7 linked regions of the Oryctolagus cuniculus genome follow. The protein of the gene in region 2 interacts with the protein of the main gene of each other region in a pairwise test. Links are inferred from orthologs where the notes say so. Each region holds a gene or a part of one and is shown on either strand. Other genes may lie near its edges. The genes, in order: ARIH2, CCDC33, NDOR1, FAM124A, TTC19, ABCF3 and PPP2R3C.

Region 1 (3,500 bases), on a different chromosome or scaffold from region 2:
AGGTGTATTGCAGAGTGTACCGACACTGCAGCAGGAGAGAAGAGAAGGGACCTGTGTCTGTGATTCTAACCTACCTCTACCTCAGGTGGCTCTGAAAACTCTTGCCCCACCATGCAGATTAACCTGGCTCTACAGGTCTGGGCTTCAAAGAATCAGAGCCAAGCCAAGGAGAAGATGGACTGGGGCAAGACATGGGGAAAGCAGAACAGAACTGATCACAGGACACCCACCTTTCCTTTTTCAAACTGTGATTTATTACCAGCACTGCCTCAGTGACTTCTCCTTCTTGGGTTGGACATCAGAGTCCACATATCTATCTCAATATTTGTCCGAAGACTATCTTTTCATTTTCCTTTGCACGACGCAGAGATGGGACAAAGGGAGAGGAAGGGGATTCTAGTTTTCCCTGCAGGCAGAGGCAGCAGAACACTATTCTTAGAAAGCCTCTGGGGCCGGCGCCGCGGCTCACTAGGCTAATCCTCCGCCTTGCGGCGCTGGCACACCGGGTTCTAGTCCCGGTCGGGGCGCCGGATTCTGTCCTGGTTGCCCCTCTTCCAGGCCAGCTCTCTGCTGTGGCCAGCGAGTGCAGTGGAGGATGGCCCAAGTGCTTGGGCCCTGCACCCCATGGGAGACCAGGAAAAGCTCCTGGCTCCTGCCATCGGATCAGCGCAGTGCGCCGGCTGCAGCACGCCAGCCGTGGCGGCCATTGGAGGGTGAACCAACGGCAAAGGAAGACCTTCCTCTCTGTCTCTCTCTCTCACTGTCCACTCTGCCTGTCAAAAAAAAAAAAAAAAAAAAAGCCTCTGACTTCCATCAAAGGACTGAGTCCCTCAAGGGCCCAGCACAAGGAAATGTGGGTCTGTCAGCAGAAGCACATTAGGCTGTGCAGGGTGCTAACGACTCCCACTCCCCACAAGACCTCCCACCCTCAGAGGTGTGCCCTGATGGGGGCCAGGCACTGGAGAGGGGATCCAAGAGTGAGGTGGTAGATACCTTGGCCAAGAGCTTGGCAGCGTTCTGTAGATACTGCCAGTCGATCCACGTCCCCAGGTTATTCATAACCCTCTCTTGAATCTTTTCATGAATCCGCTGGTATGTCTGCGCCTCTAGCTGCAAGCTTTTGTTGTGGTTTTCCCACTAGAGGGCACAGAGAGAAGGAGAAAGCTGCAGGAATCCCAGGAGGTCCACAAGTCCACAGGTCCACACACTCAGGACACACCTTTGGCTGGCAGGGCATGACGACAGACTCCTTGAACTTACGGGGAGTGTGTGTGGCCTCCACAGTGCAGGAAGGGCTTGCTTTCAGTGCACCCACGAGAACAGTTTCAGTAAACCCTCAGAACAGCTCTCTGCCTGCCCAAGTACTCCATCCCGCTGGGGAAACGGGACTCTGGCCCTGACAGCCAAGCAAAGCGGGGGCCCCCACTAGTCTACTGTGCTTAGGGACCAACTGTCATACTCTGACTTCTGAAGGGTCTCCCTGGGGGAAACCATTCCCTAATTCTGACCACTAAGAAGGCACTGGAGGGCCAGTGTTGCGGCGCAGTGGGTTAGGCTGCCATTCTATGGGCACCAGTTCATGCCCTGGCTGCTCCACTTCCATTTCAGCTCCCTGCTGTGGCCTGGGAAAGCAGTGGAAGATGGCCCAAGTGCTCGTGCCCCTTCACCCACAGGGGAGACCTAGGATAAAGCTCCTAGCTTTGGCCTGGCTCAGCCCTAGTCGTTGTAGGCATCTGGGGTGTAAATCAGCAGTTGGAAGATCTCTCTTTCTCTATTTTAAATATAAATAAATAATTTTTTTTAAAAGCACTGGAATGAAAACTGTCTAATGAGTCTTCATTATCCTTTCATCCATCGTTAACTGAGGTCAGTTCCCTGTCCCTCTCCAGCTGTGGCTACCCAGTAGAGCCTAAAAGGCACAGGTGTAGAGGTAGCACCAGGGCTACTGGCAGGAGCTTCATTCACTGCGTTCTCTATGCACAGGCTGGCTCTGGCTACCAGTCAGCCCAGTCAGCCCACCCAGGTAGGCTAACCACAGAAGCCCACCCTGGTGGGATGGGCACAGGAAAAGACGCCTACCCTCTCAAAGTAGAACAAGTACTTCTTGAGGGCCTCCCTGGCCTGGGCTTGCTGGCTTTGGTTGACAATGTCAGGATTCTCCTTGTACCGACTGCACTCATAGTATTCACTGCCATGAGTCTTCCAGTCTCCTAGACACATCCAGCAGAAGTCTGCACAGAACAAAGGGAGAGTCACTTATAGCCGTAAGACAAACCCACATCCCTCCAAGGCACTGGCAAAGCAGTGGGATGGACAGACCCGGAGGTATCACCTGACTAGAACATCCTGGCTGCCTCTTTCCAGAGGGAACATTACCTCGCATTATCCCTGAGGCCTGTCCTTGCTGATATGACAGCTTATGGATATTCACCATTCCATGAGCACATGCGCTCTGTGTCTATTAATTTCAACATAGGTAGGTGCAGACTATACAAGGACCACGGGCCTGCTGTGTCAGTACCACTATAAGAAGCAGAAATTTGTCCAACTGAAGCCCACCTGGTTGGCTACAACACACACCATCTGTATATCCTATCTCTCATCTTCCTAACACTTGACCTAGGAAGATGTTTGTATGTGAAGCTGGTCCTCTTCTTTTTTTTTTTTTTTTTTTTTTTAAGATTTATTTATTTAAAAGGCAGTGTTATAGGAGGAAGTGGGGGGCGGGGGGCAGATGGGAGAGAGAGAGAGAGAATATCTTCCATTAGTTGGTTCACGTTCCAAATGGCAGGGGCTTGACTAGCCTGAAGCCAGGAGACCAAAACTCCATCTGGGTCTCCTATGTGGGTAGAAGGAGTCCAAGTATTTGGGCCACCTTCTGCTGCTTTCCCAGGCACATGAGCAGGGAGCTCGATTGGAAGTGGAGCAAGTGGGACTTGAATCCACAGCCATATGGGATGCCAGCACTGCAAGTGGTGACTTAACCCACGGCACCTCAATGCCAGCACCTCCCTTCATTTTTTTTTTTTAAAGAAGATTTATTTATTTATTTATTAAAAGGCACAGAGACGGGCAAGGGAGGGAGGGAGAGAAAAGGGGAGAGGAAGGGCAGGTGGGGAGGTGCATGACTCTGCTTCCAAACTAAGGAAGCAAAAAGGAAAAATTTAAGATACCCTTATGGATGCCGTACATCCCAGGAATTACTACAGCCTAACGGAGCAGGGTCAACCACAGTTCATTTGTATGTCCAATAATGTAGATGATGTCCTGTCTGCAGAGCCCCTGACAGTGGTAGGTAAACTCTGCTTAGGCTCTTGTCAAGCTGTAGGGAAGCTAAAGCCAAACCCAGAGACCCAAAGGCTGTTCAACTTCTCCTGGGAGCCTTCATCTAACAGCGGCAATACTGCCCTCTCCCTGGCAACTTGTGCTTGCTACTGTTTCAAATACCGCATTGGCTAGGGTTGCTCCTATAAGCAGTATAATTAATTACACAGCAAAGC
Region 2 (4,146 bases):
GGGCTCGGAGCCGTCCCCGCAGGCAGGCAGGTGGGTGGCCCCGTGGATGGTGACTGCGACCACCTCCTTATTGAGGGGAGCCAGGTGGCTGGCGGTGGGCTCCGTGCTCAGGGCGACGTCCAGGGGCTCCTTTGGGCCCTCGGCAACCTGCGGGGACAGCAGCATTGAGTGGCCCCCCCTCCGCTCTGTCCCTCTGTCCCCTATAAGCTGCCAGTTCCCTCGCTCTTCCTCCACCTGCTCTGGGGCGGCACGGCTGTCACCTCCGATCCCCGTTCTCTCCCCGGTCCCACACCACGCGCCACATCAAGCGGCCGGTCAGTCTCTCCCATGCGCTCAGCTCTGCCCACCCGTCCCGCCAGGTCCCTCCTGTGCACAGCACTTCACAGTTTACAAACGTCGGCCACCCCCATGCTGGATCGCACACAGCAGACACGCAAAAAGCCGGAATCAGAAGTGGAGCCAGATGGGATGTGGGCGTTCCCAAGTGGCGTTTTAACCAGGTGCCTGCCTCTTGCCGGGAGCTTTGATGCCCAGGTAAAGCCCCTTTATAGCTGGGGGTGGGGCACTCAGAGAGACAAAATCCCCGCCCCCAAGCATACAGCAGGGCCCGCCGCAGCGGAGCGGGACCTGGAACACCTGTTTGCAGTTGGGGCCCATCCTGGGGTCCGCCTCATGGAGGCCTCGGAGCTGTGATCTTCGGGAGGGCTGGCGGCAGCCAGAGCAGTGGCCTGTGTGGCCAGCACTGTGGCATAGCGGGGTAAGCTGCTGCCTGCCACGCCAGCATCCCACAGGGGTGCAGGTTTGAGTCCCGGCTGCTCCACTTCCGATCCAACTCCCTGTTAACGTGCCCAGGAAAGTAAAAGAAGACGGCCCGGGGTGCCCAGGCCCCTGCACCCACGTGGGAGACGCAGAGGAAGCTCCTGGCTCCTGGCTTCAGGTCAGCCCAGTTCTGATGTGGGCATTGGGGGGTGATCCAGTAGACGGAATCTCTCTCTCTCTCTCTCTCTGTAACTTTGCATTTCAAATAAATAAATTCTTTTTTTTTAAAGGGACTCAAAGCAGGAGACCATCAAGGGCAGTCTGAGGGGTGGGATTACATTTGAAATTCCCCAGAAATTTCTAGAATGGCTGCAATTCACCACAATGCAGAGAAAAGACACGTGGGGGCAAATAGGCGCCCTGTCTACAAAAAGACCAATGTCCCCAGTCCTCAGGGGGTCCTGAGCTCCGCGAACATCACCATTAAAAGGTGTGGGTCAGGACCGGCCGGGGAGCGGCAGGGTGCAGCTGGAGCCCGGCGCAGCGCGGGGAAGGCCGCCACCTTCGACCGCGTCCCGGCTGCTCTGGCTCCAACCCAGCTCCTTGCTAGTGAGAAGGTGGCAGGTGCTGACCCAGGCAGTTGGGTCCCCGCCACACGCGTGGGAGACACAGGTCCAGTTCCCGGCTCCTGACTCTGACCTGGCCCAGCCCGTGTTGTAGTCCTTCGGGGGAATGAGTACATGGAAGAGCTCTCTCTCTGCCTCTGCCTCTCAAATAAACAAAATAAATCTTTAAAAAAAGGCAGGAAGATGTAACCCTCGCTACACATTAGGAAGCTCCTAGGGAGTTCCGGCCGCTGTCAAATGTGTTCCCCGGAACCACGAATCACACTCGAGGCCACGCTCTGCATCCCTGAACCCAGCTTGGTGGGGAGGGGGCCCCAGCCGACAGCTTAGGGTGCCTGGGGGGGCCTGCTCTGGGCACGGCAGCCCGGAACCAGAGGCGTCGGAATCCAGGGTTGTGAATGTAGGTGCCACAGGGGGCTCTGGCCCCCCCGGGAGAGCCCAAGTGCAGAGGGGGTGTCCCTAGGTGCTCAGAGCCCTCAGCCCCGCCTGCTGCCACGCGGACATGACGCTGCTGTCCCAGGCTCGGCAACGCGGAGGACTTGGTCCCACCCGAGATTCTGGATGTTAGACCTGCGCTCGGCCACAGGGTTCATTAAGCACCTGCTGTGTGCAAGGCGCTGGGGACACAGCAGTGAGCACAGCACAGCTCCTTCTCTCCAAGGGCCCAGGGCAGGAGCTAGGAGCCTGGGGCAGGAGCCTGGAGCCTGGCAGCCAGCCCTGCCAGGGAGGGACCCGGGGGAGGCCCCATCTCAGGGGGCTCTCTGAGCCCGTGTGACCCCAGCAACCAGCAGTGTGGGCAGTGGTAGCCAGGTATCCACTGGCCCATGGTGCTAGGACACCCACCCTGGAGGCACCACAGAGACCCTCTGGGGCCCCATTTCACAGATGCGAAAGCTGAGGCTGTGAGAAGGGACGTTGGTGCGCAGGCTCGGGAGTCGTCAGAACGAGGGGCTGCATGCGAGGGGCAGTGTGCTGTGCACACACCGTGCACCCCCACCTTACCTTTTTCTTCTTCAGTCCCATCGCCTCGGGGGCAGGGGCATCCAGCTTTGGTCAACAACCCTGGGGAAGGGTCCCTGGTGCTGTGAGTGACCAGGCGTCCGTCCTGCCTGGACAGCTGGCCCTGCAGCCTTGGTGTCTTTGGGGGTGGCAAGTGGTGCTGGGCGTCCCTGCGCTCACAGGGGTGCCAGATACCAGTCCTGGATCTGAGCACGGGGCAGGGGTGGGGCGCAGGTTGGGGGCAGGGGTCCAGAGCTTTCTCAGGAGCGAGAGGGGGTGGAGGTGGGGGCGACTTGGGGGATGTGGGCCATGGCCAGCTGGGCAAGGGTCCCCAGCCGGGCACTCGACTCCAGGCGCCCTCAGGAAGGTGATGAAAGGGGAGGCCCTCTCTCTGCCCAGACCTGGAAGAGACCCGGCCAGGTCACCTGGGCAACGCTGTGTGATGTCACAGGCCAGGGCCAAGTCACACATGCCCCTCCGCAGGTGCAGGGGGTGGGCTCAGAAGCCGGAAGCTACGGGTGCTGGCTCAGCAGCGCGGGCAAATCTGAGTGGTCTCACAGCTTCGGCCATGGTCCTGTGCAGCAGGGATTCGAGGCTGCCGTGAGGGCCCCGTGAGACCACGCGGGGGCAGGCGCTGCACTTGGCACCGACAGTCTCACCCTTGGCACGCGCTCACAGCTTTGCTGCCACCAGCCCTGGCCGCGGCAACCAGCACAGAGTCTGCTGAGCCCTCTCCCCAGCCCCTCCCCCCTGTGTGGGAGTTCACACCCTGTAGGCAGTGAGTGCTGCCCCCTCGCCCGCCCGCTGCCCACGCAGTCCCCTCCCTCAGGGCCCCCTGACCAGGAACGCCTCTGCCTTCTGCCAGGAGCCCCGCGCCTGGACCTGAGCGCCTCCGGTCACCTCCCCGCCCCTGCTGTACGGCCTCAGCTCATCCTCAAGTCTATGCCCCCTCCCTCGAGGACGCACGTGTTCGGGGGACAAACACTCGCCAGGGTCACCCACTTGGGAGTGGCAGGGCCGGGCTTCTGCGTCCAGGCCTGCTGGCTCCAGCCTGTGACCACTGAGCCTCACTGCCTTTTGCTTTCACTTGAGGGAAAGGGGCTGTGTCTCTCTCCTTCCTCCCCTGCTCCACCCCCCGCAAGCTGGGCCAAGCCCAGAGGTGAAAGCCGCCAAGCTCTGAGACGGCGCAGCCCCGATGCTGGCGGCAAGGACAGCAAGGTGGCACAGCCTGGAGGCTCTGCTGGGTGGGCCCCTGTTAGCGGGTGCAGACACGGGGCATCTGGGGTGGGCCGGTGACATCCAGCCAAGCCCCTTGGACGCCAGCTGTCATTTCAGGGCCGTGGTGGGATCCTGGAACCTCTGGGGGGCTGCCCTCTGACCTCCCCGGGGTTCCTGTACAGGGGTGACCTCTGTGAGCTTGGCGAGTGGCTCTTGGCCTAAATGCGTGAGCGTCTGCATTTTGCACAGGGCATGCTCTGTGCTGGTCCTGCCCAGGACGGCCTGGTACCACCAAGTAGGCAAAAAACAAAAAACAAAACAAAACAAATGCTGATGGCGTAGAATCCAGCAGACTGGGCTCAACCCTGGCTCTGCAGGACAGGTGAGCATTTGGGGGCAGGGTCCTTCTAGCAGACTCCCCGCCGTGCAGGACACCACCTGTGGTGGGCGCCCCGTATGAGCCCACTGTCCTGTTCACCACAGTTCACACCGACAGGGAGCCCCCACGGCCCCAGTCTTGGCGATGGGGGCCTGGGGCTGGCTG
Region 3 (4,236 bases), on a different chromosome or scaffold from region 2:
CACCACGTCACCGGCGGCAAAGCTGGGTGGGGGTTAGGGGAGGGGCTTGCGGAGGGAGGCCACGTTCAGGCCTCCCCAGCAGAGCTGCCAACTCCCAGCTCCAGCGGGGGCTCGAGAACCCTGCGCCCACTGCCCCACCCCGAGCCCCAAGCTCCCGGGGACGCCTCCACACCCCGCTGCCCTGCCTGTCTGGGGACGAGGCTGTGTCAGGCCCCTTACCTGATGCCAGAGCCCGTGATGTCAAACTCTATCAGGCGGACGTCCTGGAAGTGTGAGGGGCCGGTGACCCTCTGGTTGGTGACCATGGGCGCCAGGAAGGGCCGCAGCTCTGTGGGCGGCCCCTGAGGGTCAGCACCAGCCTCGCGGGGCTCCTCCGAGCCCACGCTGGAGCCCTCCTGAAGGAACTGCAAGGTGAACTTGGAGGGCAGGCTGTGGGGAGGGCGTGGCCGTCAGAGCCTGGGCTGCCTTCCGGGGCCCTCGCCCACCCCTCGGGGAGGCCCACACTCACGGGACTCCCGGGGGGATCACGGCGAGGCCGGCGGGCACAGGGTACAGCTCCAGTACCTTCTCCCACAGGCTCTGCAGCCAGGGGTCGATGGCGGCATCAGGCCTGGGGGGATGGGCACGAGCTGAGGGCGTCCTGCCCGTGGCGGGGCCCTGCTGGCCGCGCCACGGCACCGCCCCCTGCTCTCACCCCAGCTCGTGCTGGTCATCGCCCAGGCAGGCGGGCAGCAACGCGCTGCCACCCAGCTGCAGCAGCCGGCGGTACAGCTTCTTGGCCACGAAGTTGAACCTGCAGAGACAGCGCGGCCGGCCCAGGCTTGGCAGAGCCGAGGAAGCTCCGGGGCTGGGAAGTAGCCTCGTTCCCGACGGCCCTCATCCGGGTGCCCGCAGGTGGGAGCCGGGACTTGCGGGGGCCACCTGTCTTCCCGGGCGCGGTTTCCTCTGTGGGGAGTGCCCCCCCGGTCACCAACACCACGTGGAGCGGTCCCAGGTCCTCACTGCCTGTGCCTCCCACTGAAGGGACTCGGGGGTGCCTGACCTGCGGGCACGGCCACCCCGCCCTTCTGGGACCGCCGGGCGGTCTTCCACGTCTGCCGAGCGACACTGCTGCTTGTTTACGGCAGGCCGAGGAAAACCGGAGGCAGCCCCCCGCCCCGGCGGAGCCGTGTGGAGGGGCGCCGGCCCCACGGAGAGCGTGCGTGGACGGGACGCAGCTCTCGCCCCTCCCGCCCAGCGCCCACCCGCCTCGGACTCACTTGGCGTAGGAGGAGTCCCCAAGGCCCAGGACGGCGAAGTCCATCTGGCAGAGGGAGGTGGGCGGCAGGCGCTTCCGGAACAGGAACCTCCAGAAGTTCTGAAGCCGCAGGGAGCTGTGAGAGCCGGGCTTCCCGCGCGCCCCGCAGGCGGTGCTGACGGCTCCGCGCTTGGCCGCCGCCCACGCCCACGCCCACGCCCACGCGGAGACCCAGCTGCAGGTCTGGCCTCCCGGGTTCAGCCCGGCCCAGGCCTGGCTTGCAGGCAGACGAACATGGACACCTGGAGCAACACGACTGCTCTGCCACCGTGCCGAGAACCCGTCCAGGGAAGGCAGGTGGCCCCGAGGCCGCCCGGAGCAGGCACTCACGAGGTGGGGGGCGAGCTCGCTGCCTCCCGCGCCCCCTCCCCTCGTCTCCCCGTCGCAGCAGCGGTTCTGGGCTGTGCTGCTGGGACCCCTCCCCCCGCCCCCGCCCTCACAGGGCCACCCCAGGAGCCCCAAACCTGAACCCCGACCTTCCTTGTCCGTGACCAGAGCGGCCCTCCGCGCTGCCCCTCTGCTCCTCCCACCACCGCCCTGCAAGGGCGCCTCAGCCCCTGCGTGCCCACCGCCCCTTCTGTGGGTGAGCAGAAGGCCTGGACCTGACAGCTGTCGCCCCACGGCTTCCGGCCCACCTGCCTGACCGCCGCTGCCCGGCCACTCTGCACTGGGCCTGGCTTCCTGCCGCCCCTCCCTGCAGCGCCAAGCACCCTCCTCCCGGGCCTGGCGCCCCGCTCGCTGCAGGACCAGAGGCTCTGCTCGCACCCCGCGGCTGGCCCCCCTAGCATCTGGCACCTTCCCCAGCCGCGGGCACTTCCGGCGCCGACTGGACCGCCCAGCACGCTCGCTGCTTCTGCTCCCGGGAGCCCCGGCCCCAGCCCGTGCCCAGGCTGCACCGAGACCTAAAGGCCCTTCCCCGGGAGCCACAGGAGACCAGACCAGCCTGTCCGCGAGCGGTGAACACGGAGGGCGAGGCTTCTCCGACAGCACCGGCGGAGAGCCACTGACTACCGCCGGTGTCTCTCCAAGTGCGGGGCGGAGCCCCCGGGCCAGCCTTACCTTCATGTTGTCCGGGGGGTCTCCCTGGCCTGCAGTTGCACAAACAAATACCACCAGGCGCTCGTTGATCAGGTTCACCTCAAGAGAAGACACGCAGGTAAGACCTCGTGCGGGGACACCGCACCGAGGGCGCCCCCTGCGAGCACCCCCGCGGCCCGGCCCCCTCCCCGCGCCCCCGGAGCGCTCACCACCGCGTAGGAGTCCAGCGCCTGCACGCGGCAGCCGAGCCTCCGGCGCCGGGCCTCGCGGCCCAGCCTCTCCGCCACATCCTGGGCCGTGCCCGTCTGGCTGCCGAACAGCACCAGCAGCTGCGGGCTCGGCATCGCGGCTCCCCCGGGGGGCGGTCCCCGCCACCAGGTGCACCGCCGGCGCCCGCCGCGAGGCGACTTCCGCTTTCCGCCGCCCACCGGAAGTGACGCACTTGGGCCGCGCCCGGCGGGGCATGGCGTCCGAGCGCCGCGGGCGTCGGCGGGCGGCCGGTGCGGGGTTCCGGGCGGCGGCCGGCGGCGGCGGCGGCGCGGCCGCTCGCTGCCTCGCGCTCGCGGCGGTTGCGGGGGCGGCGGGCGAGGCCCCGGGCCGCGCGCGGCCGGCGCCATGCTCTTCTCGCTGCGGGAGCTGGTGCAGTGGCTGGGCTTCGCGCCCTTCGAGAGCTTCGTGCACCTGCTGGCCCTGCTGGTGTTCTCCGTGCTGCTGGCGCTGCGCGCCGACGGCCTGGCGCCCGGCCTGTCCTGGTGGAACGTGTTCGTGCCGCTGTTCGCCGCCGACGGGCTGAGCGCCTACTTCACCACCATCGTGTCCGTGCGCCTCTTCCAGGACGGGGAGAAGCGGCTGGCCGTGCTGCGCCTCTTCTGGGTGCTCACGGTGCTAAGCCTCAAGTTCGTCTTTGAGATGCTGCTGTGCCAGAAGCTGGTGGAGCAGACCCGGGAGCTGTGGTTCGGCCTCATCGCGTCGCCCGTCTTCATCCTGCTGCAGCTGCTCATGATCCGCGCCTGTCGGGTCAACTAGCCCCGCGGCGGGGGTGCGTGCCCGGGCCTGTGGGGCGGCCAGCCCCGCGCCGGGGGTGCGGGACCCCGAGCCCGGGGCGTGGGCCAGCCGGGGCCCCACCTCCGCCCGCTGCACCAGAGACAGCGCCTGCTCCTGCCCAGCCGAGCGGCCACTTTGCTGCCCAGAAGTCGTGGCTGACATTGCTTCTCCCGTTAGCTCGGGGCCTGCACAGCAGCTGCCCCGCTGGACTCAGGGACTTCCTGGCCCGGCTGTGCTGACCCAAGAGCTCCAGTCGCACCGTGCTGTCCAGGCTGTGTGAGATGGTGGATCTCCTGCCTGATGTCCTTTCTCCATCCCGGCCACCACGCAGGGCCTGAAGGACGTCAGACCGCGTCCGCTGTCAGCTGGGAGCATCGCTCTGCCATGGGGTTGGCCGAGAGGAACAGGTGCCCGGTGCCCTGAGGATTGAGACCTGCAGGTGGGAAGCGGGGTGGCCGGCTCTGTCGGCCGCGGTCTTTGGTCTGACGCCAGTTGGGTGCCAAGTGGGAACATCTGCGATAAAAATAAAAGAGAATCTTTCCGGAAAGGCGCGGGTTTTCTGTGCGTCCTGAAGACGGGCCCCTGCGTGGGTCTCACGGCGGGGCTTGGGGTGGACCTGGAGGGGAGGCGAGCGGGGGCGCCCAGGTGAGGGCACCTGCCATGTGTGGCTCTGCAGGGCCGGGGGCAAAGCTGCCCTGAACCCTGGTTTCCCGCCACTCGTGAGCTGGGGAGGCTTCCACGTTTAGAAGGGTTCGGGATGAAGGGTGTGTGACGGTGGCCGCGGCCCGAGTGGCAGGGCAGCACCCGGCACCTCGGCCGACGGGGCCTGGCCGTCCTCCGAGGACGGGTGCTGGCCT
Region 4 (3,415 bases), on a different chromosome or scaffold from region 2:
AACACCTGGTCCCACCTGCAGTCAGTGCAGCCTGACACACCCTCTTGTGACTGCCCCCTGCCCTCAGGCCCTGGAATCGAGCAGCACCACAGTCCAGTTCTTCCTATCATGTGTGTCCCAAAAGGCTCAACCCTTGCCCCAAGGGTCCCTCTCATGCTCGTGTTAAGCAACGGAGGCAATGCAAGCTCATTTCTGTAGGGCTTGCCGGGTCAGTGGGAGTGGACTGAGAAACATCTGATGCTTGCAGCACACACTTGGTGGTGGTCAGTATTGGCCAGTGTAGGATCACGAGCAGTAATATGGGGGATCTGATTTGGATGTGTACTTGATCAGGGCACTTGCTGATACAGCCCCCCAGGCATTGCTGGGGCAGAGGAGACAAGAAACTGTGTTCTATTAAGCGGTTGTGATCTTTTACGTTCTATCAAGCTAGGGTTAAAACTGAGACTGCCTACCTCACAGAGCCTAGGTTAGCAAAGAAATAATAAATGAGACAACTCTTTTTTTTTATGGAAAAATTTATTGAGCACCTGTAAGAGGCCAGCATCTTTCACAAGAACAATATCCAAGAGGGTCAGGATTCCCTAGTGGGTGTCAGGAGCCCTCCAGGATAAGGAAGTGCTGGTTGTGTAGCCAGGAGGGAAGCCGAGGCCTCTGGAACCCACCCTATGGCTCCTTCTCCACAGAGTGACTCCCATTTCCCCAACATAGGCACTGGGGCGCCTGAATGCGGTCTTCCCGCCCCTTCCCCCCTTGTGTTATGGGGCATCTGCCTTTCCTGCTTTCAGATGACCCTTGGGGGTCACTCAGTTTGGACCAGACTGTGATGAGGGTGGCGCTGAGAAGACGCTGGGCTCTGAGGCAATCCTGGAGGACATGCGAGAAGAATAAAAGAAGGGCATGGGTTAAGGACGAAGACAGGGCCATCCCTTGCCAGCTGGGCCACTCATGTTTTGCCTCGTTGGCTTTTGTAGCTATTGGGCTTGTGCCCCTGTTCCCTGGGGGCTGTGCCATTGCCTGAGTGACTTTTTTCCTCCTCCCTGATGTCACCGCTGCCTTCCCTTGCCAGCGGCTGACCCTGAGTCACGTTTCCAGGCAGGAGGGCACTGCTGGTGTAGGAACTGGTTCTGTAGAAAGAAGCCCTTTGGTGTTCTGGGCCTGTAGTTCTGTAGTCATTGGCTTGACGGGAGCAGCCTGATTTCTTGGCATCACAACCACAGTCAGCCAAGGTACACACTTCAGAGTCTCAGTTCTTAAGTCTCGAATCAGCCCCAGGCAGTCTAGTTCAAGGGCTGGTTGACCTTCACCCTTGGACCTTGTCTGGCCCACCAAAGTCTTATTGGAACTCTGCCACTCCCGTTCATTTTCATTTTATCCACAGCAGCTTTCCTGCCACAGCGGCAGTAGTTATGATATGACTGCCTACCCTATTTATTACGTAGCCCTTTTCAGAAAATGAATTAGAAGAGACCATATTTTCATTTATTTACATTGGAGTAGAATATTACAGTTTGAAGTCCTACAATGTCCAGGCCGTTTGAGGCAGGATCTAAGGCTCTCATTGCAAGGACGGTGTAGACCTGAGTGGGAGTCTGAGATCAGTAAGGGCTGCGTGAATGACTGTGTCGGAAAGATTTCGGAGGCCGGCTGGGCTGGTGTGGGCATTTTGGGAGTGCTGAACTCTGTGCCATGAGTCATTGTGACAAAGAGCACCAGCCTGGGACATGAACAACACACATCCATGTTCTCCTTCCCCAAAGATAAATGTTTACGCATCTGGGAGACAACTTGGCATTGCCCCTGATGTCACACTTGGCATTGCTGAGGCTGCAGTTGTAAACATGCCCTTCCTGGGGGTGAGATTTGAGTGCCACTCATGCTGCGACAGAGCCAGCCACAGGCAGGGAGAGCCGAGGCTGGGCTCCAGCTGCAGCCGTCCCCAAGCCCACAAGCATTTTTTGGAAGTATTTGGTCAGAACAGTGTGGTAGGTAGGTTCCTGGTTTTGGGGAGAGGGCAGTTGCTAATCTGTGCAATCAAAATGCCAGCTAAAATGTCACCAGTCACTTAAAAATAAAAAATGTAGGACCTGTGGCCAGGCATGCTGACTGGAAAAAGCAGTAGAAAATGTAGCTCCTATTGTCCTTAGACTGTGCTTTTGAAAACTGAAAATTCTTGCGATTACCTACCCAGTATGTCTAATATTCTATGATTCTCTAACTCCAAGGAGAGTCTTACTCAGTGATCTAAATAAACTCAAGAGCGTGGAGAGGTGGTCTGGGGCTCTCATTCATTACAGTGAATGTTATTGGAAAATAGATGCAAATCTAATTTTTGGAACTCAAATCAAATTTTCAATGCATGATGAGTCTGTTACTTGTGCCAAACCCTTAGAAAATCTCTAAGCCACTTTAGTGTAAATTCAGATTTTCAGAAGCCGCATGGCCTCAAAGGCAGGCATCTGTCCACAGCTGTCTTATCGAGCTGACTCTCCCCATTCTAAGCAAGACTTGAAAATTCCTCGGGCTACTGCACATATACACAAAGAATCCCGGAAGGTGCACATTCTGTTACTGTGCACGGCTGGCTCGTGCAAGTCACTTAGTATCCTTCCCACATTCGACATTTTGGCTTTAATTGTTTTCCTTCTCAGCAGGAAAATGTGCTAAATCAGCTCTGGCTGACTGGATCTTCTTTTCATCTCAAATAATTCTAATGAAACATTTAAGTGGTATAAGTGCACTAAGCCATGCCTCAAATTGAGCATTCAAAAATATATATTTTACGGCTTATTTTATTTGCATAAAATGTCAGTATTTTACGGCGAGTCCCTAAAATACACCATCTCTCAGTTAAGAATGGAGAGACTGGCAAATGTGCTCACGGTCCCCAGGCAGCAGACAATGAAATCCCAGACAGACCTGGGGAGCAGGGCAGAGAACGCTGGTGCGTTCCGAGACCAGAGGGACAGGGAGGCCTGAGCCTGCGCGTCTGCATCCGTGCGTCTGAACGACAAAGGCGGAGGCGGTCAGATGTAGAATTCTTCCATGTCATCATCCCCGGGGCCAGGCAACACGGCGGGTGGTGGCATGGCTCTGCTGGTCTGGGTGATGCGAGGAGCGTCACAAGAGAGCTCTGGGGGTGACTTAGGGAGCAAGGAGGTGCTGGAAGCCGGGGCAGCAGTGCCATCTGTCCCTGAGGAGCTGGAGGACCCTTGGATGAAGAAAGAGAGGGAGGCCTGGGAGGCGCCCGCGGGGGCCTCACTGACAGCGGGCAGTGGTGCTTCTCTGGACCCCTTGTGCCCTGGCCGGTGGCTGCTGCGTCTTTCGGAGGGGAGGGATGCCTCTGCCGTGTTGCAGAACCTGCTGGGTGCAGAGTATGCGGAGACCACAGACAGGTCCGAGGAGGACAGCCGCA
Region 5 (4,264 bases), on a different chromosome or scaffold from region 2:
CCTCTGTTTCTCTGTGTAAGTGTGAGTTTCAAGTAAAATAAATAAATCTTAAAAAAAAAAAAAAAGTGAATTCTGGGGTGGACGTTGTGGGGCAGCAGGTTAAGCCACCAACTTGTGAAGCCAGCCTCCCGTACCAGAGTGCCAGTTAAGAGTCCTGGCTGCTCCGCTTCCAATCCAGCTGCCTGCTAATGTGCCTGGGAAAGCGGTGGAAGATGGGCCAAGCCCTTGGGCTGCTGCCACCATGTGGGAGACCCGGATAGGAGTTCCGGGCTTCTGGCTTCAGCCATTTGGGAGTGAACCAGCAGATGGAAGATCTCTGTCCCTCCCTCTTCACTTTGCCTTTCAAATACATAAATCCTTTTTTTTTTTTTTTTTTTTTTTTTTTTTAACAGGCAGAGTGGACAGTGAGATAGAGAGACAAAGAGAAAGGTCTTCCTTTGCCGTTGGTTCACCCTCCAATGGCCGCCGCGGCCGGTGCACCGTGCTGATCCGATGGCAGGAGCCAGGTACTTCTCCTGGTCTCCCATGGGGTGCAGGGCCCAAGTACTTCGGCCATCCTCCACTGCACTCCCTGGCCACAGCAGGGAGCTGGCCTGGAAGAGGGGCAACCGGGACAGAATTCGGCACCCCGACCAGGACTAGAACCCGGTGTGCCGGCGCCGCAAGGCAGAGGATTAGCCTAGTGAGCCGCGGCACCGGCCCTCCTTTTTATTTTTTTTAAAGTGAGTACTTTGTTGCATATATTTTGCTGATAACCAAATCTAAGTCCATCCAGGACGGAAGAAACAAATGATAATGATATCTGTTTCTTTTTTGGTCTGGAATTGAGATATCTTATAAGTAACAATATAGCATCTTTTTAAAACAAACCACATGAAAAACTTAGTTGAAAAAAATAAATGAGCTTTAGGACATCTTGCAGGTCAGCAACATAAACCCAGAACAACCCTTCCCTTTCATCCACTTTGCACATCAGCAGCTGGGACTGGACACAAAGTTACCAGGTCGTAAGTGTAAGTGATGGCCTTCTTGTTATCGCTCTGATAGGCGAGGCGAAGAGCATCGTGCAGCATCTTCTCGGCCTCTTCTGGCTCATCCTTCATGATACTCAGCTGCAGACAGGAGATAAAATAAATAAATACATAAAATAACAGCGAAATCCAAAGAGAGCAGACGCCGGAGCTACCAGACAGAGGCGGACACGCAGCGTTTCCCAATACGCAGAAGCGAGCCGTCTGTCTGTTCACCAGGTACGTACTGAATTCCTACAGGCACCACGCGTTGCGTCTGCGGAGGGGACGGGCAGGTGGGCCTCCTGCGTGGCTAGGGTGGCCACACGACAACGTTTTGGGCAACAGATGAGAGGGAAAGGAGTGATGGGGGGGGGGTTCTCCTCTAATGGGAGTCAGGGACGCTTTCTAAGGAAGCGACAGCTAACTGAGCTAAGATGGATGAGTCAACCAAACAAAGAACTGGGGGGAAGAAGGACCCACGGAGAAACGAGAGAGCAGCACAGCACGGCCCCTCTGGGCTGGAGAGGATGGTTCTGGGGAAGGGAGACAGAGGGCTACTGCCCCACGGGTGGGCAAGGTGGGAGGCTTGGCTCACATAGGGTCTTAGGGGCCACTGCGAGGTGACTGGACTTTCTCATGAACGCAGTGGGATGCCACTCAGGTTTTCAGGCAGGAAGGTAACACCCAATTGACGTAAATATGCTAAGAAATCTTTCTGTCTACTGGAGACTGGATGGCGGGAGCCAGGGTTGGTGACAACCAGGGCGAGAGCGAGGAGGGCAGATGGCAGAACAATTTCATTTTGGATTTGGGGGCTGCACTGTTGAGTGTACTGGGAGGCAACACACAAGGTACACTGAGGTTTCTAAGCTGAGATACTGAAGGTAGTAAGGGCGGTGGAAGCAGGTGTCGGGGTGGCACCTGGGGTCCAGAGTTCAGCCTGGAGGAGACAGCAGGTGGGTAACACACAGAGTGCACGGTGTTGGCACTGAGCTGGAATCCAGCCCAAGAAAGAGAACAGATAACCGGGGTGTGTGTCGGGGGAGCAGAGGGCACGGAGGAAAAGGAGGAATGTACAGAAAGAAGAGGATCAGACTTCGGATCCTACCCGGCCCGTCTACAGGGCGCTACAGTATAACCGGAGCTCCCGAACACTGTGGACGGCGTGCGTGGACGGAGACACGCCCGGTGGGGGACGCCATCCTCCGCTGTCCGCACCTGGACGGATTCCCACCCCCCCACCACCCGCGCCCAGCCCCGTCCGATCCCCGGGCCTCCCTCCGCCCTCGCGCAGAGCGCAAGGTGCACCCCGCTCGCCCGCGCTCCCGGCCCGGCCCGGCCTCACCTTGGCCCGCTTCAGCAGCCGGATGATCTCGGCCTCGGCCTCGTCCGCCGCGTCCTCGGCGGCGGCCGCGCCGTCCGCTCCCCGCTGCTGCTGCTCCTGCTCCTCCGGCTCGGAGGACCTCGAGAACCAGGACAGCGCTGCGGGAAGGGGCTCTGAGGTCAGCGGGCCCGGCCCGCGCCCCTGTCCCCGCCCGGCCGGCCCCGCCCGGCCCGCGCCCCTCACCTGCCAGCAGCGGCAGCAGGCCCGGGCCCCCGCCGTGCGGCGGCGCGGCTCGGGAGGGCGCCGCCGGAACGCCGGGCCCCGCGCCTCCTGCGGGCCCCGGGAGCAGGCGAGGGAAGCCGGCGCGGCACCGCCGCCCCGCGGCCCGCAGGAGGCCTCGGCCCAGCGTCCGGCTGAGGAGCCGGTACATGCTCCCGCCGCGTCCTCTGCGCACTGCAGGCCCGGCGGCCCCGGACGCCCCGCCCCCTGCGCCGAACCCTCGCCGGATTGGCCGGGCCGTGACGTGACGGGCGTGAGGGCGTCCTCGGGGCTGTCCGCATGCGCGGTGACGCACGCCGACGTCACTTCGCCGGGCGCTTCCCCCTCATTCCCCAGCTCTCGCCCCTCCTCGGTGGCGGGAATTTTGTCGTGGGCGCTGGTCCGAGGGAGGCGCAAACCCTCCAGGCCATGGCTGTCGCGTTGCCTGGCGTCGTGGAGGAGCTCCTGAGCGAGATGGCCGCGGCCGTGCGGGAGAGCGCGCGAAGTACGGGCCGGAGGGCGTGTGTGGCGGCTTCGCGGGCCGCGGGCGGGACACAGTGCGGGGCTGGGAGGCGGGCGACGGGGCCGGGGGGTCCCTGGGCCGGGGGGTCCCTGGGCCGGGGGGGTCCCGGGGCCGGGGGGTCCCTGGGCCGGGGGCTGGGACGGACAGAAGCTTAAGGACGCGTTATGGAAAGATGAGTATCTTGAGTTCCTAAGTTGACCACGTTTGCCTTTGCTGTCAAGTTCTGATGGCGAGTTTAATCAATCATGGGTTCAAAAAATAAAGTATTTTTCGGGCCACGGTGGACGGAACGCGCAGGCAGCTGCTGGCGTCCGCGATGCTGTGCAGCGCCTTTCCTTGTCTGGCCAGCAGAGGGCGCTCTGCACCCGCTCACCGGCGTCCCCGCGTCTTCTAAGATGATGCCAATCGGTCACCTACACACGCGGGCTTTTGTTCACAGAAGCTGTGCACTTGGGGAGGGGTTTGAGTTACTGTGTCTTCTTAAAGGACTGAGGGAAGTAAGGCAACTTTTGGTCTTTGCAGTCCAAAGTAACACGCTTCAAAGATGACGCCAGCTGGGTACAGACCTCTGGGTGGGTGGGGGGAAAACACGGTTGTGAGCGCCTAGCAGTGACTCTAAGATTTGGTGGCCTGGGGCGTTTGGAATGCTTTGGCTTCACGAGCCTTGCCTTGTCACGAGGGAGTAATCCGTGCGCTGACCGCCGTGGGGGCCCGATAGGTAGGTACGAGTGACACAGCCGTGACTCAGACACGCAGCCGCTGCCTTTGATGCGAGTTTATTTTCGGCAGGACTCTTCTGCGCACTTCAGGATCTTTGTGCAACCCCGGGCTAAGCCACATTCTTCCGTGGTAGCTGTTTTTAGTGCGGGTTTCCAAGTTTACATTTTGTGTGTGATGATGTCCAAGCTAGTCACAGATGAGCAATGTGGGAAAGTAGGATGGACTTCTCCTTTCTTGTGTAACTTCTTAGTGTCCCCTGGAGTTGTAACTGTCCTGGCTTATGTGTGCTTTCCAATGTTCCCAGACTTAGCCCTAATTCAGTATCAGCCTCTTTTTTTTTTTTTTAAGATTTATTTATTTATTTGAAAGAGTTACACAGAGAGCGAGCGAGTGAGAGGTCTTCCATATGCTGGTTCACTCCCCAAT
Region 6 (4,083 bases), on a different chromosome or scaffold from region 2:
CAAGGGAGGGGAAGAAACAATCGGCCTGAGTGTAGGCAGCCCAGCAGGATGTCCCCCTGCACCCTGCACAGCTGCAAGGCGGGCAACTAGCCACCTTGTCGCCGGGACAGGAACAGAAGACAGGAAGAACCTGCACAAAGTAGCAGGGGCAAGAGCATTTGGGGAAGAACAGAGCATTGGGAGGGAAGGGGAGAAGGCAGCACTGTGGTACAATGGGTTAAGCTGTTGTCTGTGACACCAGCCTCCCATATGAGTGCCGATTCCGGTTCTAGCTGCTCCACTTCTGATCCAGCTCCCTGCTAATGTGCCTGAGAAAGCAGCAGAAGATGGCCCAAGTGCTTGGGCCCCTACCACCACATGGGAGACCTAGATGGAGTTCCAGGCTCCTGCATTTGGCCTGGCCTGGCCCTGCCTGTTATGGCTATTCGGGGAATGAACCAGCAGCTGGAAAATCTGTCTCTGCCCTCCTTGCTCTCTAACTCTGCTTCTCAAAAAAAATGAATCAATCTTTAAAGAAAAAAAAAAAAAAAGAACAAACACCAGCGTCCCATCCGGTGGTGGCAAGTGGCAAGTCCCGAGCTCTGCGTGGCCAGGTGACTGCCGGGGCTCTCACCTGCCAGCTGCGATCTGGCTGCTGAGCTCCTGCTCGCGCCGCAGCAGGTCCTCCCGCACGCTGTCACTCTCCAGCACGCTCTGCAGGGCAGGGGTGTCGTCTCCCGCAACCTCCTGCTCTACGTGCAGCAGGGAAATGTGGGCTGGAACCCGCAGGCTCCGGGTGGCCAGCATCTTCAGCAGGGTTGTCTTCCCCAGACCATTCCGCCCCACCAGCCCATAGCGGCGGCCCCACGCCAGGTTCACGTCGGCTCCAGCCAGCAGTACCCTGCAGGGGTGGTAGAAAGGAGACCAGCTGGTTTCGGGGCGCTGTGTGTAGCTCCGTTTCACCTCTGCAAAGTCTCCTGTAATTGGAAAAGGAGACGAATGCCACCCTCACTACCATCCCCCTCACCTATCACCAAAAGACACGTCGAAGTTCTCGATCCGCACGTCGTAGGACTTGTTCTTGCCGGAGGACTCCAGCCGGCTCTCCTTCCTGCTGCCCGCCTGGCTGGCCGACGCCTCTTCCAGGACTCTTAGAAGGGAGAGAACAGGACGTTCAGCGCCTCCAGCCACCGCTCGCCCCGTGGCGCTGGCTCTGCTCCCCGCACTCACGGAGGGCCGCAGGTCTTGAGGGCATCCTTCTCTGAGCGCTTCTCCTGCTTCGCCTTCAGCCGTGCCTCCGCCTTCTCCAGCTTCTTCGCGTTTACCGTCTAAAGTTCCAAAGAAAACCACTTCACCCTAGGGTGCAGGCTCAGAACAGGGACCCCCAGAAGGAGCACTTCAGCTCAGCCGCGACAAACAGACTCAAGGACTCAGGCAAGGACAGCCGACCCCCACCTCCACCTCAGACACCGCCCCTCCTCCCCCCGCCTCCTCACCGAGGACTGCTCCCTCTTCAGCAGTCCTGGAAGTTTGGGGTCACAGTCTGTAACCAATACAAAAAAAAAAAAAAAAAAAAGCAGTCACCCATCTCCCAGAAAGAAGGGAGACTAAGGTTCGGAGTGATTAACATGAACCAGGGACACAAACACAAAAGCCTTACCATCCTGGGGATGGGGGCTACCATCCTCCCCACCCCCAAGACAATAAACCCCACTGGTGTAGGCACACAAGCAACTCTTCTGATAAGGTCAAGCAGTTAGTAAGTTGCAAAGCTGGGAGGTGAAATCAAGTTAGGCTGCTCCAGGCCACAGACTTCCTTACCCTACCCAGGCGCGGAGACCCCTCCACGCCCTTTCCCTTCATGCTGGCCTCAGTACAACCAAGTTCGTGAGAGACAAGTCTGGCAGCTCGAGCTGCAGGGGGCAGGTGGCTGGAGCAACAAGTTCAACTTCCCCTCACGCTCACCGTAGTTCTCCGTTATCTTTGACAACTGGATGGGGGTATCCAGTCGCACCTGGCTGTTTCCTTGACTCTGTGGCTCGGCGCTAGGTGGGTAGGGATGGAAAGTGCGGAGTTAGGAACTGAGGGAAAGGCCCCACGGCCCCCGCAGTCCCCGCCGCCCCGATCCCGACACGTACAGGCGCAGAGTGTTGTACATGCGCTGGCACACGGCCCTGATGCCCGCGTCATCCTTGCTGTCCCCGGACACCTCCTGCAACAGTTCCCCCACAGCTTCCACCAGGTCATCCACAGACTCGAAATCCGCGCTGCCGCTGTGCAGGACGCCTGGGCCGGGCGTGGCAGGACGAGCAGGACACCGGGCAAGGTGGACACACAAGCAGTTTCAGTCCCTGAATCGCGGCCCCCAGTCGGGGCTCCAGACCCAACCGGCCTTCGGGACAAGAGGTCACGCGGAGAAGAGGCCTGGCAGCGGTCCCCAGCACTGCCCTCCCATAGTCTTTCCCCCTGAGCTCCACTTGGGCCTCCCCAGCCCCTTGATTCGGTTCAGCTCACCCGTCACGTAGTCGAAGACCTGTCCGTCAATTTCCGGGAACTCGCTCCGCAAGATCTCGGCGCAAGTCGCCATGTTCCAGCAGGAATCCCGTACGCGCAATCGCCTTGAGACCTCGGCGTAGACCCGCCCCCTACCCGTCCCCGAAAGCTCGCCCCTATTCCCAAAGCGCATGCGTAGCAGCGACGTACGACAGAAGCGGCGTGCGCGGAACCCACGGGTGGGTTGAGCTGGCCCGGACGAACCGTGCGCAAGCGCAGCTCAGAGTCTGCGCCGGAGCTGCCCTCAGCGCCTGCGCGACGCTTGTTCGGCTGAGGGATGAGCCACATGTGCCGTTCTCGCTGCCTTCTGGGAGGCGCAGAGCCGGAGGCGAGGGGTGGGGCGGGACAGGCGCGCGCGGGGGTTATCAGGGCTCGAGGCTTCGCCGGAGCTCCGGCTGGTGGGCGCCTCCCGAGAAGGGCGGCTGATAAGGATGTAGCTTTGCTCGGTTTTATGTGCTCCCGCGGGGCGCATCTGCCACTGCGTGCCTGGACGGACCCGTTTTGTGAGCGTTGCTGACTCACGCTGCTTTCTGAACTCAGAAGCCCCCGGCTCCGTTCCGTGCGTCCGCCGGTGTGGTCCGGGGCCTCAGGCCCTGGAGTTTGCGTCAGCCGGCTGGCCAGCACCCCCAGTCCTTTCCCACGGCCTCAGGGTTCAGCCGACCCTTGCGAACCTTGCCCATTCAGTTCTTCACCGCCCCAGGGCGCAACTTCCCCCACCGCCGAAGGGCGGAAAACCAGATCACAGCCCGGATAAGCTCACTGGTACTTAGTCCCTAGCTGCGTCCCATCCCAGGGCTGAGTTCTCTGCACCCAAGCCTCAGTTAAATTACAGGGAAAGGCTGTTTACTTTCAAGGATTCCCTCAGGTAAAAAGCGAGGGATTTTCCCCCAAAATGAGGCTACTGCGTTGTATTTAATGTCAATATTGAGACCTGGCTTTAAAACTATGACCCAACATTACATAATTACCCGTTTGGATTAACCACTGCCCAAACCCTGTGTTAACTGAGCCTCTAGATCAAATAACCATTTTATAGGAAATAAAGGTAAAGGGGGATATATTGGCAGGAGACCCAACAGGCAAATTCTGATGGGGAAACTACAGAACTCGTTTCTTTAAAAACTGCAAGAGTGGAGGCAAAGGTAGGAGTGTAAAACGTTTCAGATGGGTTAACCAACCACAGTGGACCCTGTTTGGATCCAGATGGATGTTGTGGAAATTTTGACAGGATATCTGGATTAAATGAGCACAGATCGGATGTGATACTAGGAATTGGCCGTGAGTTAATCATTGTTGAAATTGGATGATGGTATATGAGGGTGCACTGTGTTACCCTACTTTTGAAATGTTCTCAAATTTTGTTTAAGAAAGCCGGAAGGGAAATTGTGAAGGCAAAATCAACTCTTATCTTCCCTAATACACTGGCAGGATATGGGCAGTTCCTTCAGAGACTTGCTCACCACATAGCTCTGTGGAATGGTGACAGTATCCAGGAAGTTTCCTGAGAAGCAGGGGGAGTCCCCAGTGGTGTCCCCCACCCCCTCCAGAATC
Region 7 (4,240 bases), about 69 Mb from region 2:
CAGTTAGGCCACCACTTAGGAGCTCATATCCCATATGGGAGTGCCTGGAATGAAGTCCCACTCCCCACTTCCAATCCAGCTTCTTGCTAACACCCTAAGAGGCAGCAGGTAATGGCTCAAGTGCTTGGATTCTTGTCATTTATGTGGGAGACACAGAGAGAATTCGTGGCTAATGATTTTGGCCTGGCCTGGCTCTGGCTGTTGTGGGCATTTGGGGAGTAAACCAGAGAATGGAACATCTCTTTGTGACTCCATCCTTTAAATAAATAAACAAATAATATCATAAAAAAATTAGATTCAAGAGACTTTTCTATAGTGGCTACATTCTATATAATAATAGGTCTTATGCTTTTCAGTGCACTTCACTTTCAGGTAGCTTTCTTAGTGTTCCTGTTTTGTCTATAATCTCAAAGACTTCTTTACACTTTTGACATAAGGAAACTTATGAAGCTCTGAGTTTTCCATTTTCAGTCTACTTTCAAAAGATTTTAAGCAAAACCTTTACACTTCATAACAATGTGTTGCATACCTCAACATAACACAATATAACACTACACTCCTCCACAATAAAAATTAAGAAAAATCCCAGGATTTAGAAAAAAGTACAAGGAATAACTTTGTGTTCTTATACCAATTTATATCAAAATTCAGGATTTCACTGGATTCAAATTGATAAGAGGTGTAAGATCAAGAAGAATAAAATAACATACAATATTTCAAATACAGTACTACTTTTAAAATATAAAATTCTGATCCCATTTTTAATTACATTTTATTTTAAATTTTATTACATTATTTTAAATTTTATTTATTTATTTATTTATTTATTTATTTATTTTTGACAGGCAGAGTGGACAGTGAGAGAGAGAGACAGAGAGAAAGGTCTTCCTTTGCCGTTGGTTCGCCCTCCAATGGCCGCCGCGGCCGGCGCGCTGCGGCCGGCGCACCGCGCTGATCCGATGGCAGGAGCCAGGAGCCAGGTGCTTTTCCTGGTCTCCCTTTCGGTGCAGGGCCCAAGCACCTGGGCCATCCCCCACTGCACTCCCTGGCCACAGCAGAGGGCTGGCTTGGAAGAGGGACAACCGGGACAGAATCCGGCGCCCCGACCGGGACTAGAACCCGGTGTGCCGGCGCCGCTAGGCGGAGGATTAGCCTAGTGAGCCGCGGCGCCGGCCACATTATTTTAAATTTTAAATTACATTTAATTTATAAATTCTGAAAAACATCTGCTTAGCTATCACTTACCCTGTAATAAAACCGAGGAATGATCTTATAGAATTCATTTGTGTTTTTCCCAGCTCCTTTCCATTCGGAGTAGTATTTCGTAAACAAATCCATTTCTTCATCTTTTAATTCTTGTTCACTTTTTTTTCCTGGTAACAAAACAAATGAAGGGGAGAAAAGTACTTTTAAAGGAATATTATTTATCAGGTCCATTATCTACTACAGGTCATTTAAAATAGTTGCAATGTGGGCCAGCACTGTGTCACAGCGGGTAAAGCTGCTGCCTGCAGTGCAGCATATCATATGGGCACCGGTTCTAGTCCCGGCTGCTCTTCTTCTGATTCCACTCTCTGCTATGGCCTGGTAAAGTGGCAGAAGATGGCCCAAGTGCTTGGGCCCCTGCACCTGCGTGGGAGACTGTCAAGAAGCTCCCGGCTCCTGGCTTCGAATCGGCACAACTTTGGTTCTTGTGGCCATTTGGGGAGTGAACCAGTGGAAGGAAGACCTTTATCTCTCCCTCTCAATCTTTAGAAAAACATAGCTGCAATGCCAACAAGGCTTCATAATTGTGCTTATAAACTGAACATGGGGACCCGTGCTGTGGCATAGCAGGTAAAGCTGCTGCCTGCAGCACCAACATCCCATATGGGCACTGGTTCAAGTCCCAGCTGCTCCACTTCCAATCCGGCTCTTTGCTATGGACTGGGAAAGCCGACAGTAAGGGAAAAGGATGGACGGAGGTTTGGGAGGTGACAAGAACTCGGTGTTATTACAGTGGATGCCCTAGGAAACACAGCAGACGTGCCCGAAACACCTGCTCTAGGTTAGCGGATCTGGGTCAACAGTGAGACGACTCATCCTGGTTCGATTTTTCTCCAGCCACTTTCAGCTGCCCGGAGAACGAATGTGGAAGAAGAAAGATTTCACGAGCTTGGTTAACAAGCAAGTGTAAAGGAAGGGAAAGGGACAAAGAAAAACGGATTATTACAGCTAAAACGAAAAGGAAGGAAGTGACTGTGACAGAAAGGCTACAGGCTCAATGAATGATCGCGGTGGGGTCGAAGAGCCGGTGGAGCCAGGGTTCTCAGTCACCGCCCGCCAGTCCAGATCACAACCATGTAAGTAAGTGCTCAGGCTAAGGTCTTCGCTCCCGAAGGCCCTTCCTAGCGAAGTTTGGGAGAAACCTCTGCGGGTCACAGAAACACATACCACCACTCCGCCTCCTGGGTCCGGGGATGCTACAGAAGCGCGAAGTGCGGCTCGCACTTGCTCCTCCTCCCAACTCACCGCACGCCTCCCAACCCCGGCCCGCCGCAGAGTCTAGGCGCCCCCCACCCCGCGCCCCCGCCAGCCCAGCGGGCGGTCCTGCCCCAACTCACGGTTTAGACCGGTGTTGGGCGTCGCTAACCGCCGACGAAGGACTTCTTTCCAGTCCATGGCTGACTCCCGCGAAGCAGCGCCTGCATTTGCTGTATATTAACCGCTCCTCCCCCCATCAGTGCTGACGTCAGACGCCCTCAAGCTACGTAGAGGCTGGGAAGGCCTACCAATCGCCATCTTTGACATGGGCGGAAGTCTTGGCTAAAGGGGCAGGAACTCCTGTAGCTGTCGCGGTGGATAGGGCCGTATCTCTAACTGGGAAAAGCAGACATGAAAGAGATGGAAAATAATCCTGCTTAAGAAGCGTCCACGTTTCACCAAGTTCGATTTTAAAGGCCAAGGTAAGGGAGCCCACGATTTTGTTTCCTTATCGTGGGCCTTTGGCGCGTGTGCCCCACGTGACTCAAGAGTCCTTTGCCGTTTCCGGCTAGAGGGAAGTACTTTGGCATTTTATTTTAATTGAGCTTGAGGCCCTGAATTTTGTTTTAAGTAAGCTTGACGCCTCAGTAGCCGTCTTCTCCCTCTTTTGCTACTATAAGCTTCCAAATCTTTTTTTCTCGCGGTTAAGCGGAGCGGAAACGCGGGCGTCCGGCTCGGGCACGCCTCGCGGGCCGTGGCTGGCGCGGTGCATTGTGGACCCTGCAGTTTGCTTCACGTTTGTGGGCCGCTGAGGCGTGAGTGCTGTGGTGAGTTGTGCAATGAAGTGAACTTCATTGGCTGCTGACAGGTACACGGTTAAATTGGCGCCTTTCCTGGACCTCGCTTGTAGGCTCGGCTGTCCCCTTCCCCCTCTTTCCCTCATCTGACGCGTTTGCGGCCCCGGGAGATTTGCTATGCCGCGCGGGAGCCCGTGGCTTTGGCCGCCCTCGTTATTGTTGGTGGGGTTGGGGGCTTCTATTCCCGGTTTTAACTTTATGCTTCCTTTCCCGCAAGGCTCCCATGGGATCCTGCCCTTTTTTACAGTTGTGAACCTCCTGTGCTTTTCCCTCGGATTCACGGGCTGGATTTTAACAGGCACCAGGAGCTCCCCGCCCCGACCCCCGGATTAGGGTTTACGACCAGTGTTGGATATCCCCAAGTCGCCGCTTAATAGAGAGGGCTCACCTGCCTTCGTTGCTACTACATAGCCCCCAAAGCAGACCCGTATCTGTGTGTAAAGAAGAAACAGAAAATCTCCTTTTAAAAAGTTGGCGCATCACTCTCGACCTCCTCCATTTCTTCATTTTGCTGTGGAAGTAGGGGGTTATGAACATCTCTCGTCCCATCGGGTGCTGATTCCGTTGCACGATGGCGTTCTGTATGTCTGGCATTCGAAGTTTTCCTAAACTTTGGGAGAGCAACCCATACGCTGGGCTACGTCCAAGGCATTCTTACATCTCCCTCTTTCTCACAAACTGCGTTGGCATCAGGAACGACCATAGATGGTTTTCTCTTAAAGCAATGTCTCCACAAAACACCAAAGCAATGAACCCGCTGATTGCCAGGGGCAGACATCTCTGGAAAGCAAATGAGGGCAATAAAAAGCAAGTGCCTTTGGAGTCTTCCCATCTTTTCGCAGCTGGAGCAGCTGAGAAGCGATCACAGAGGAATCCTCCGAACAAGGATCGGGCCATGCCTCCCGTGAAGGGCACTATTC

What was found.
Region 1: the proteins of CCDC33 (region 2) and ARIH2 interact in a two-hybrid assay, tested with the Homo sapiens proteins (2 studies listed by BioGRID and IntAct). The two-hybrid records come from large-scale screens. The link is inferred for Oryctolagus cuniculus from reciprocal best matches to the Homo sapiens genes CCDC33 and ARIH2.
Region 3: the proteins of CCDC33 (region 2) and NDOR1 interact in a two-hybrid assay, tested with the Homo sapiens proteins (2 studies listed by BioGRID and IntAct). The two-hybrid records come from large-scale screens. The link is inferred for Oryctolagus cuniculus from reciprocal best matches to the Homo sapiens genes CCDC33 and NDOR1.
Region 4: the proteins of CCDC33 (region 2) and FAM124A interact in a two-hybrid assay, tested with the Homo sapiens proteins (2 studies listed by BioGRID and IntAct). The two-hybrid records come from large-scale screens. The link is inferred for Oryctolagus cuniculus from reciprocal best matches to the Homo sapiens genes CCDC33 and FAM124A.
Region 5: the proteins of CCDC33 (region 2) and TTC19 interact in a two-hybrid assay, tested with the Homo sapiens proteins (2 studies listed by BioGRID and IntAct). The two-hybrid records come from large-scale screens. The link is inferred for Oryctolagus cuniculus from reciprocal best matches to the Homo sapiens genes CCDC33 and TTC19.
Region 6: the proteins of CCDC33 (region 2) and ABCF3 interact in a two-hybrid assay, tested with the Homo sapiens proteins (2 studies listed by BioGRID and IntAct). The two-hybrid records come from large-scale screens. The link is inferred for Oryctolagus cuniculus from reciprocal best matches to the Homo sapiens genes CCDC33 and ABCF3.
Region 7: the proteins of CCDC33 (region 2) and PPP2R3C interact in a two-hybrid assay, tested with the Homo sapiens proteins (2 studies listed by BioGRID and IntAct). The two-hybrid records come from large-scale screens. The link is inferred for Oryctolagus cuniculus from reciprocal best matches to the Homo sapiens genes CCDC33 and PPP2R3C.

Annotation. Positions count from the first base shown.
Region 1 is NC_091441.1:100,171,768-100,175,267, forward strand, and holds part of ARIH2 (E3 ubiquitin-protein ligase ARIH2), read right to left. Parts: intron 2,232-3,500; coding exon 2,080-2,231; intron 1,138-2,079; coding exon 994-1,137; intron 52-993; coding exon of another isoform or gene 26-51; coding exon 1-25.
Region 2 is NC_091443.1:109,375,177-109,379,322, forward strand, and holds the start of CCDC33 (coiled-coil domain-containing protein 33), read right to left. Parts: upstream 2,801-4,146; 5' UTR 2,409-2,800; coding exon 2,388-2,408; intron 148-2,387; coding exon 1-147.
Region 3 is NC_091432.1:237,493,210-237,497,445, reverse strand, and holds the start of NDOR1 (NADPH-dependent diflavin oxidoreductase 1), read right to left. Parts: upstream 2,801-4,236; coding exon 2,545-2,800; intron 2,435-2,544; coding exon of another isoform or gene 2,386-2,434; coding exon 2,357-2,385; intron 1,388-2,356; coding exon 1,260-1,387; intron 794-1,259; coding exon 695-793; intron 611-694; coding exon 509-610; intron 430-508; coding exon 220-429; intron 23-219; coding exon 1-22. Other genes in the region: TMEM203 (transmembrane protein 203), read left to right, coding at 2,951-3,361. UniProt on the Homo sapiens protein: NADPH-dependent reductase which is a central component of the cytosolic iron-sulfur (Fe-S) protein assembly (CIA) machinery.
Region 4 is NC_091440.1:70,650,653-70,654,067, reverse strand, and holds the end of FAM124A (protein FAM124A), read right to left. Parts: coding exon 3,027-3,415; 3' UTR 501-3,026; downstream 1-500.
Region 5 is NC_091448.1:60,003,076-60,007,339, forward strand, and holds the start of TTC19 (tetratricopeptide repeat protein 19, mitochondrial), read right to left. Parts: upstream 2,801-4,264; 5' UTR 2,768-2,800; coding exon 2,581-2,767; intron 2,496-2,580; coding exon 2,359-2,495; intron 1,113-2,358; coding exon 1,002-1,112; intron 1-1,001. Other genes in the region: ZSWIM7 (zinc finger SWIM domain-containing protein 7), read left to right, coding at 2,896-3,100. UniProt on the Homo sapiens protein: Required for the preservation of the structural and functional integrity of mitochondrial respiratory complex III by allowing the physiological turnover of the Rieske protein UQCRFS1.
Region 6 is NC_091435.1:93,764,612-93,768,694, reverse strand, and holds the start of ABCF3 (ATP-binding cassette sub-family F member 3), read right to left. Parts: upstream 2,801-4,083; 5' UTR 2,666-2,800; coding exon 2,494-2,665; intron 2,266-2,493; coding exon 2,118-2,265; intron 2,025-2,117; coding exon 1,945-2,024; intron 1,523-1,944; coding exon 1,476-1,522; intron 1,308-1,475; coding exon 1,210-1,307; intron 1,130-1,209; coding exon 1,007-1,129; intron 881-1,006; coding exon 614-880; intron 1-613.
Region 7 is NC_091443.1:40,416,063-40,420,302, reverse strand, and holds the start of PPP2R3C (serine/threonine-protein phosphatase 2A regulatory subunit B'' subunit gamma), read right to left. Parts: upstream 2,801-4,240; 5' UTR 2,662-2,800; coding exon 2,604-2,661; intron 1,374-2,603; coding exon 1,246-1,373; intron 1-1,245. Other genes in the region: PRORP (mitochondrial ribonuclease P catalytic subunit), read left to right, coding at 3,892-4,240. UniProt on the Homo sapiens protein: May regulate MCM3AP phosphorylation through phosphatase recruitment. May act as a negative regulator of ABCB1 expression and function through the dephosphorylation of ABCB1 by TFPI2/PPP2R3C complex.